Caenorhabditis elegans: one gene and its partner. The protein of the gene in region 2 interacts with the protein of the main gene of each other region in a pairwise test. Each region holds a gene or a part of one and is shown on either strand. Other genes may lie near its edges.

Region 1 (3,756 bases), on a different chromosome or scaffold from region 2:
CTATAGTTAACTTCAGTACAAAAATCGTATTTTAAAGTGTAGCTTTATGCTCAAAATATATTAAAGGTGGAGTGTCGCCAGTGTGGAATGTTCGGAATCACTCCTATTTGAAGCAAAGCATGGCAAAAAATTTTAGAATTCTTTTTTATTTACAGTCGATTATAATTGCGGAAGTAGCCCGAAAAAAAAACAAAATTTCCTACGTTTTTGGGTTTAATAATATTTAGTTAATTGTGTTTAAAAATTTCAATGTTGTGTAGTTTAACATTTCCTCACTCAACAGTGTTCAATATTTAAAAAAAATTTTGCAAGGAAAATTGGAAATATGCCAAAACTTCATCTGAAACAAAAGTTAAATGTTTAGTTTCTCTGTAAAAACGTAAAAATGACAAATATTGAAATAGTGAATTGAGACTTGAGAAGACTTTTAGATTTCAAAAAGATTTCAAGACTATTACACAAAAAAAAATCAGACAGAAACAAAAAACAAAAAAAAATTATTAAAAGATTGACACTGACATGTTTAAAAAGTCACAAAACATTTTCGAGTACGTAGTTACTCGAAAAAGAAAACTAAGATCTATATGACGTCATTTTGATCTGACACAGGTGACACATCTCATCCATCCCGTAGCTCTTCTCCCACAGAAACATTTTGTGGTGTGAAGTTACTAGATGCACACTTTACTACTTGAATGGAGGAGGTTAAATGATGAAAGAACAGAAGGATGCTCATTATGATTGTGATGTTTCAAATATTATAATTATTGTTTCACTTTTGCAAGTTCTATAAATTGATTGAAAAATTGACAAAACTCTGGATTCAGAAATTGCATTTTTCAAAATGTGTAAAATTTCAAAAATCGTGTTATAAATTTTAAAAAAGTCCAATGTTTCTGATAAAAAAATGTTTTAATTAGATGAAACACTGAAATTGTTCAGTTTTTGTCAGTGAACAAGAGAAATCACAGAAAAATTGTTCCGAAAGGGACTACTTTACTCCCTATTTGTCTTGAAATCTCTCAAAAATCAGTATCTTAGAAATTATAGTTAACCCACAAAAATACACTTTAAACCGTTCAAAATCTATTCATTATTTTTTCAAATAAGTTCAATATGTTATAGAACATCTTTGATATGAAGCATATAACAAACGTCATCATAAAACATCATATCACGTTCATAAAATCCTTTTCTTTGAGGAATTGTCTTGTTACAGATTGCACAACGGAAACAATCAATATGAAAGAGACGATTAAATGCAACAAGTCCTCGTTCAATTACTGGCAATGAGCATCCTGTAAAATTTGTTTTTTAAGTAATCGTAAGGGGCTCTAATCTTTCCTATATGTAGCTGAGTAATCAAAGTTCGTATAACCCGTGCAAAACCGAATTCACAAGCCATATCATTCAATTTTTAATTTCTACTAATCAGTACTTCGAAGAACTAAAAATACCTGTGCAAGATGGATGATTTGTTTGAATATGACATGCATAACATGATGGTTTCATTGGATCAATTGATGAACGGAAATAACGATTGTCCGAGATTTGAAGCTAAAATTGGATATTTTGAAATTTTGGAAGTGCTTTTTTCCGAACGCTTCCAAAACTAACTTTACAAAAAATGCATTGAATATGATCCCGATGCCACATTCGATTCAGAAAGAAGACAACTTTGTTCTAAAAATTACTTTTTTAAAGGAAATACACCAATTGTGGATTTACCTTTTCGACATCCTCCTCGGCGATTTTGGCTTTACATCCTGCACAATTGATAAACTCAATAGTCATTTTTCTAGTTTATTTGGAAATAAATTATTTTTTATTAAAATTGTATTCTTCGCCTCCGAATTTGTATTTAGTAAGCGGTTGCCACGTAACTGGTATTAAAATTTATTGGTTTTTAATTGAAAACTTCCAAACAAGATACAAAAGTTTATGCATCTCTGCATGGTAATCTCCAAAATACATAAAATATCACAGATTCCTTATTTCTAGGGCAAAATAAGCCATTATACTGAAGCCAAATAATACTGTCCGCCTTTCATGCCTTTCCCTCCCGAGACTCCATCTTTTTTTCCAATCAGATCCAATTTTCGGTGAACAAACAATAATTTGACATGCCTCTGTTGATTAACCGTGTTTTGTGAGCAATTCATTGGCTTTTCGTCGCACAAAAACAATGGGCATTAGGAGCATTTTTTGGAAAGTTGTATCTGGAAGAGGTGAGCACAGTTTGTCCCATTTTTTTTCTAATTTTAGCTGATTAAAAATAAAACCTCCAAAAATGAATTTCAGTGCCCGATAATGGTGGATGGGTTGACAGTATGCAAGTGGATCATTTTGATCCTTATACTCCAGGACAACTAACAAAAAACTTCACAGCAACTGTATAGTTTTCAGTTTTTCCAAATTACCCCAATTTCTAACCTCTCACTTTTAAGGTTGCTGACGAAATTAGTGTAACCCGTGGCACTACAGTTAAAGCAATTTATCGAGATGATCAATGGATTTATGTTGAGGTATCTGATGGAAGAAAAGGATTTGTTCCACAGACATATTGTAAATTGCTTTTGAATTCAAAACACGGTGAAAAGGTGAGCGTTTTAGATGTTCTAGAAAAGTTATTTTTAGTGCAAATCTTAAAGAATGCAACAACACGTGTAATTGTGGCATTTAATGATATTCATTTAAAACTACTGTATCCGGTCTCGACACGACCGAAATATGCGCAAAAGAATGTGCGCCTTGCGAATTACTGTAACCACACTCCTAATTATTTCCAATATTTCATAGATATTTCATAGTTTTGTCATTGAAAAATCGAAGAAAAGTGGTGAAAATCATTGTCACCTTTAGTGAGAACAACTTAGAAGCCACGTGATGTCAGAGAGTCCCATTTCGGTTTGATCTCCAAGAATTTCGGGAATGGAACCGTTGAGAAATCAAATCAAATACTTTTCAGAAAAAGGTGATCGGATCCAGCGCGACACTTGATCGCCGTTGGGAAAAATCAAATTTGCAGAGATTTATCGACAGTCTTCCTGTTCAAAAAGAAGAAGGAGAGGTTTTTAAAATGGTTTGTTTTGAATAAAGCTATTGAATATTCTTTTGATACTATCTGCAGGATGAGATATGCGAAGTTCAAATACTACAGTCATTTGATGGATCAGCTCCAGATGATATATCTGTGAAAGATGGAGAATCTGTCACAGTTTTGAATATATCAGATCCTGAGTGGACCTATATTCGAAATTCGGACAATCAATCTGGTTTTGTACCTTCTTCCCATGTTAAGATTCCACATGAAATATTGCAACAAGCTAGCCGTGTCATTAAAGAAAAATGGTATCGTAAGTTCGCAGTTTTCTGAAACGCTTAAAGGTGTACGGACTTATTCAGATGGGTCATGGGTGTTATTCTGTTTTTTTTTTCAGAATTAAAAGACTCAGAAGACGCGAAAATTTGTTATTTTTGCGCCAAAAATACAGTACCCGGTCTCGACACGATAACAATTTTGTTAAGTGTGAAAACGTGTGCGCCTTTAAAGACTACTGTAATGTAAATACAACTTTTCGTGCTCATAGTTTTTCTCACGATTAGTAAAATAAAATATATGTGTTTTGTGGTTTTTTAAAATAAATAAATACATTTTTTAACGGAGAATTATGAAAAATCTATGCAAATTCCTCAACAACGAAAGTTTGAAGCTACAGTACCCTTTAAAGGCGCACATCCGTTTACATTTGATAA
Region 2 (3,756 bases):
GACAACTGTTCGATAGAGAATGCGAAAATAATTGACTAAAATTGAAATATTGGTATCTTTCTAAAATATTTCTTAGTAAATTGATAAACGAACGACGTCACTGATTTTTGTATAAAAAACTATTAAATAAAATGTTTCAGGTTTTTGATAAAATTCAGGATGGTTAGGCCAACTATTTTTTCAGTGTTTAACATGACAGTTTTCAGGTTCTTGATATATGCCAATGTCGCTAATCAAATGATTGTCTATGGATGTTGTCAAATGTCAAAAAAAACTTCAAATGAAACTCCAAAGGTGTTCCTGATGTTGGGTCATTTTTTTGTGAGTCTGAAATATCCTGGCGCCACTGAAACAAAAAATTGGTCGAAAAAATTACCGTTTCACTATTTTCATAAATATGTTTAAATTAATTTGGGCCATAATTTTCACTTTTTTCTAGTAGAAATGTTCTTGATATTTTTGATTGAAACCCTTCCAAGACATGATAGGTCACTTTTCAGTAACCATTTAATGAGCTACACACGTTAAGAAATTTTTTTTGAAGAATACGTTTGAAATGTAAATTAAAAAATGGATAACTTTTCGATGCTTTTAGGCATTATTGAAATAAAACGTTGGTTAAAGTTTTTGACCGTTTTATAAATTTCATGAATACGCTTCATTTTTTCAAAGCTTGAATAATCTTTCCACTATTTTTTCACTCTTTTTTTTTGGTTTTTCGTATTTTTGTTTTAAAATTTTCACATTGTTTTGCAAAGTTATCACATATCATGTTTCAGTTTCTTTATAAATTTCAGGGAGGTTCTGAAGATATTACTTTTAACTTTTTTCAGGATTGCGTGTTCGTTGGTGTCCTTGTCCCATTCCATGTTTCCGTCGTTGTGTTCTGACTCATAAATTTCACGGTTTTTTGGGTGTGTGGTGACAGTAAAAAGTGTGAAGGGATAGATTGTAAAAAAAAATTCCTCGCAAATATAGTTTAGAAGGTTTCAGAAAGTTTTCAAAAAAACACATTCAAAAATTCAAATGTTTCATAAAGTGGTTGAATGAACTTTTAAACTATAAAAATTAAAACTCAAACCTTTCCGGAAAGAGCTTAAAATACATCTTGTTCGCCGTGTTCTCCTAATTTTTTCAGGACTTGTGGGACGTAAGACCTATAATATATGAAAACAAAACGACAATTTATAAAAACCAATTTTTGTAATAATTTTTCATTGATAAATAAAAACAATGTAGTATGTCAAAAATCTTACAATTGAACTAAAGATTACGAAAATCGATTTTTCGGTAAAAAACTTTGGCCAAACTCGAATGAAGGAAATTCCCCAAACTATTATTTGCTTACCAATACATATTTTTAAATATATATTAGAAACGTATTAGAAACATATGAAAAGTGTTTACAAGAAATTATCAAACTTGGCATTTGTTTTAATGGTTTTAGTTTAACATCTGAAACAGCAAAAAAAATTCCGAAAATAGTTCGAATTGTTTTTTTTCCGTTCTCAATCGCTGATGGATTCACTTTAGCTAATATTTCAGAAATTATTTTAAATACAAAACGACTTGTTGTTGAGCATTACTCATTATGATTACAAAAATCGAATTATTTTCTCAAAAATTACTTCAATTATATTCTAATTTTGAAACAGTAAAAAAAAATACGAAAATTATATTCACTTAGCTTTTCGAATATTGGTTAAAGTATGTATTAGTAATTCCTCTTTTTTACTATTAATTTTTTAAAAATACATCTCAATCAATTCTACAGGGAAAATAAAAACATCGCCCCCTCGAGCAGCTTGAATCCCTGGAAAAATGAAAATAAGTAAGAGAAGAAGAGGCAAAGAAGTCATCGACGATTGGCTGGCAGGCATACAAAGTAGGCGGAGTCGTCATGTGAAACCCGGCGGAGGGCTTCGATTCACAGAGACTCCTCCTGTTTGTGTGTCCCCCGATTGCCCGTCTGAATCATCGAATTTTTTTTGGAAATCAATTTCGATAAAAAAATGTTTAGTAAGTTTGTTGATTTTAAATTTAAAATTTTTTTTATGTGAATTAAGCGCACAGTGTCTGCATTCATTGAAATTTTAACCAAAAAATGTTTTATTTGGAGCAGAACTTTTTTTAACGTCTCAACTAACCTAAATATATAATACTCAATTGGTGTAATTTTCTTTTATTCAACTGCAGAAACTTTTTACATCAACTACTCAATATGTTAAATAAAACCTACGAGTTTTTATAAACATCATGAAACAGTGGATAGTGTAATCATGAATCATCATTGGAATTTCAAAAAATTGATTTAAAAAGTGATTTGTGTGTCTCTATTCTCTCTCGGCATGAGCTTATAAATTCAATTGTTTGTGAGAGGGCAAACCGAACCGCGTTGCAATTGTACCGTGCCAAATCCCTCGCAATATTTCTTTGCGTCTCTTCTTTCTTATACTCTCTCTCTCTCTCTGTGTCGTTTTCTATCAGAGTACAGTAATCTGATTTATAAACAACGTTAAACAAAAGTGGAAGTGAAGAGGAAGGTTTTGAAGTTTTCAAAATGTTCTTGAAATTTTTCGGCCAGTCGATCCCACACATCGAGATGATTGAATTAATTTCAAAAAATAAAATGATATTCTATGAATGAAACTGTAATTTTTTTTCGAAAAATTTCACATTATGATGTCTTCTAGGAAAGTTGGAAAATTTCACAACAGTATTGCTGGCTTTAACTTTAAAACAAAAAAAACCGTGAAAAAAACTAAACAAACAGTATAGGTTAAAATGAGCAGAGCTTTTCATAAGAAACGCAAAAATTTTTGCTATGATGAGTGATGAAAGTGAGTTGCTTTTTATAATACATTTTCTACAGTTTCAGAAAAAATTCAATTACCATAACAACAATTTTAAATGTTTGGAAACAAATATTTGAAAAACGTTGAAAAAAGTGAGCGGAATTTAAAAAAATTTCTGTTTCACTGAAATTTTATTTCATTTGCTGAGAAAAATATATATTACCGTACTATTTTCAAAAGCTTTAGTAAGAAATATAAGTTCTCCCTTCTCTCAAATAGGAAACTTTCACTTACTTCTTCTTCTTTACCTGAATACCTGCCTAATTGTAGCCTTCACCTTTCTCTCTCTCTCCAGTCCCAGTTCTAATTATTCCGAAATTCTCTCCTTTTCCATGTTTCACATATACATTTCCGATTTTGTTTCCCACGTTTTCATGTGCCTGAATCCTCTGAACTAGAGATTCTGAGACGCAGAGAAAAATAAACGTGGATTACGGTAGTTGAGGGGAGCCAGAGAAGAGCGGCGACGTTTTTCCGTCTTCTCGTGCATTCTAGTGAAATAGCGCTCAAAAAATTTAGACGCAGAATTGCAACGCGCAATTTACTATTGATTCGGTTGAAAAATGAAGAGAGAAGAGAGACTCAGAATATTTTGAAATATGTTTCTGACTCATCTATTCTGAAAACTTAATGATCAATAAATTCCAGGTTGCATATCTCCACAGAAATCACCGGCTTTTAGTCCAGAACAGGAGAAAATGCTGAAATCGAACAGAGCAAATGAGCCACAAAGCTTTGTGAAAGGAAATGTAAGTATTTGAATTTAATTCTTAATTTGAAAATATATATTAAAAATAGCGAAACCTAAAATTTCTTCACAGTTTCAGCGATTTTTTAAGCTTTCATTAATTCATGCATATATTTTTTTCTTTAAGTGAACGGAAGAATACAGCTTGTGCTG

What was found. The genes of interacting proteins can lie anywhere in the genome.
Region 1: the proteins of lntl-1 (region 2) and C26C6.8 interact in a two-hybrid assay, tested with the Caenorhabditis elegans proteins (one large-scale study listed by BioGRID).

Annotation. Positions count from the first base shown.
Region 1 is NC_003279.8:7,504,010-7,507,765, reverse strand, and holds the start of C26C6.8 (SH3 domain-containing protein), read left to right. Parts: upstream 1-2,123; 5' UTR 2,124-2,185; coding exon 2,186-2,228; intron 2,229-2,301; coding exon 2,302-2,393; intron 2,394-2,447; coding exon 2,448-2,600; intron 2,601-2,968; coding exon 2,969-3,082; intron 3,083-3,130; coding exon 3,131-3,351; intron 3,352-3,756. Other genes in the region: C26C6.6 (LIM zinc-binding domain-containing protein), read right to left, coding at 1,120-1,298, 1,458-1,557, 1,618-1,683, 1,729-1,794.
Region 2 is NC_003282.8:5,805,229-5,808,984, reverse strand, and holds the start of lntl-1 (LIN-24 (Twenty-four) Like), read left to right. Parts: upstream 1-1,891; 5' UTR 1,892-2,012; coding exon 2,013-2,019; intron 2,020-2,198; exon of another isoform or gene 2,199-2,220; intron 2,221-2,585; exon of another isoform or gene 2,586-2,606; intron 2,607-2,914; exon of another isoform or gene 2,915-2,935; intron 2,936-3,015; exon of another isoform or gene 3,016-3,036; intron 3,037-3,503; coding exon 3,504-3,604; intron 3,605-3,756.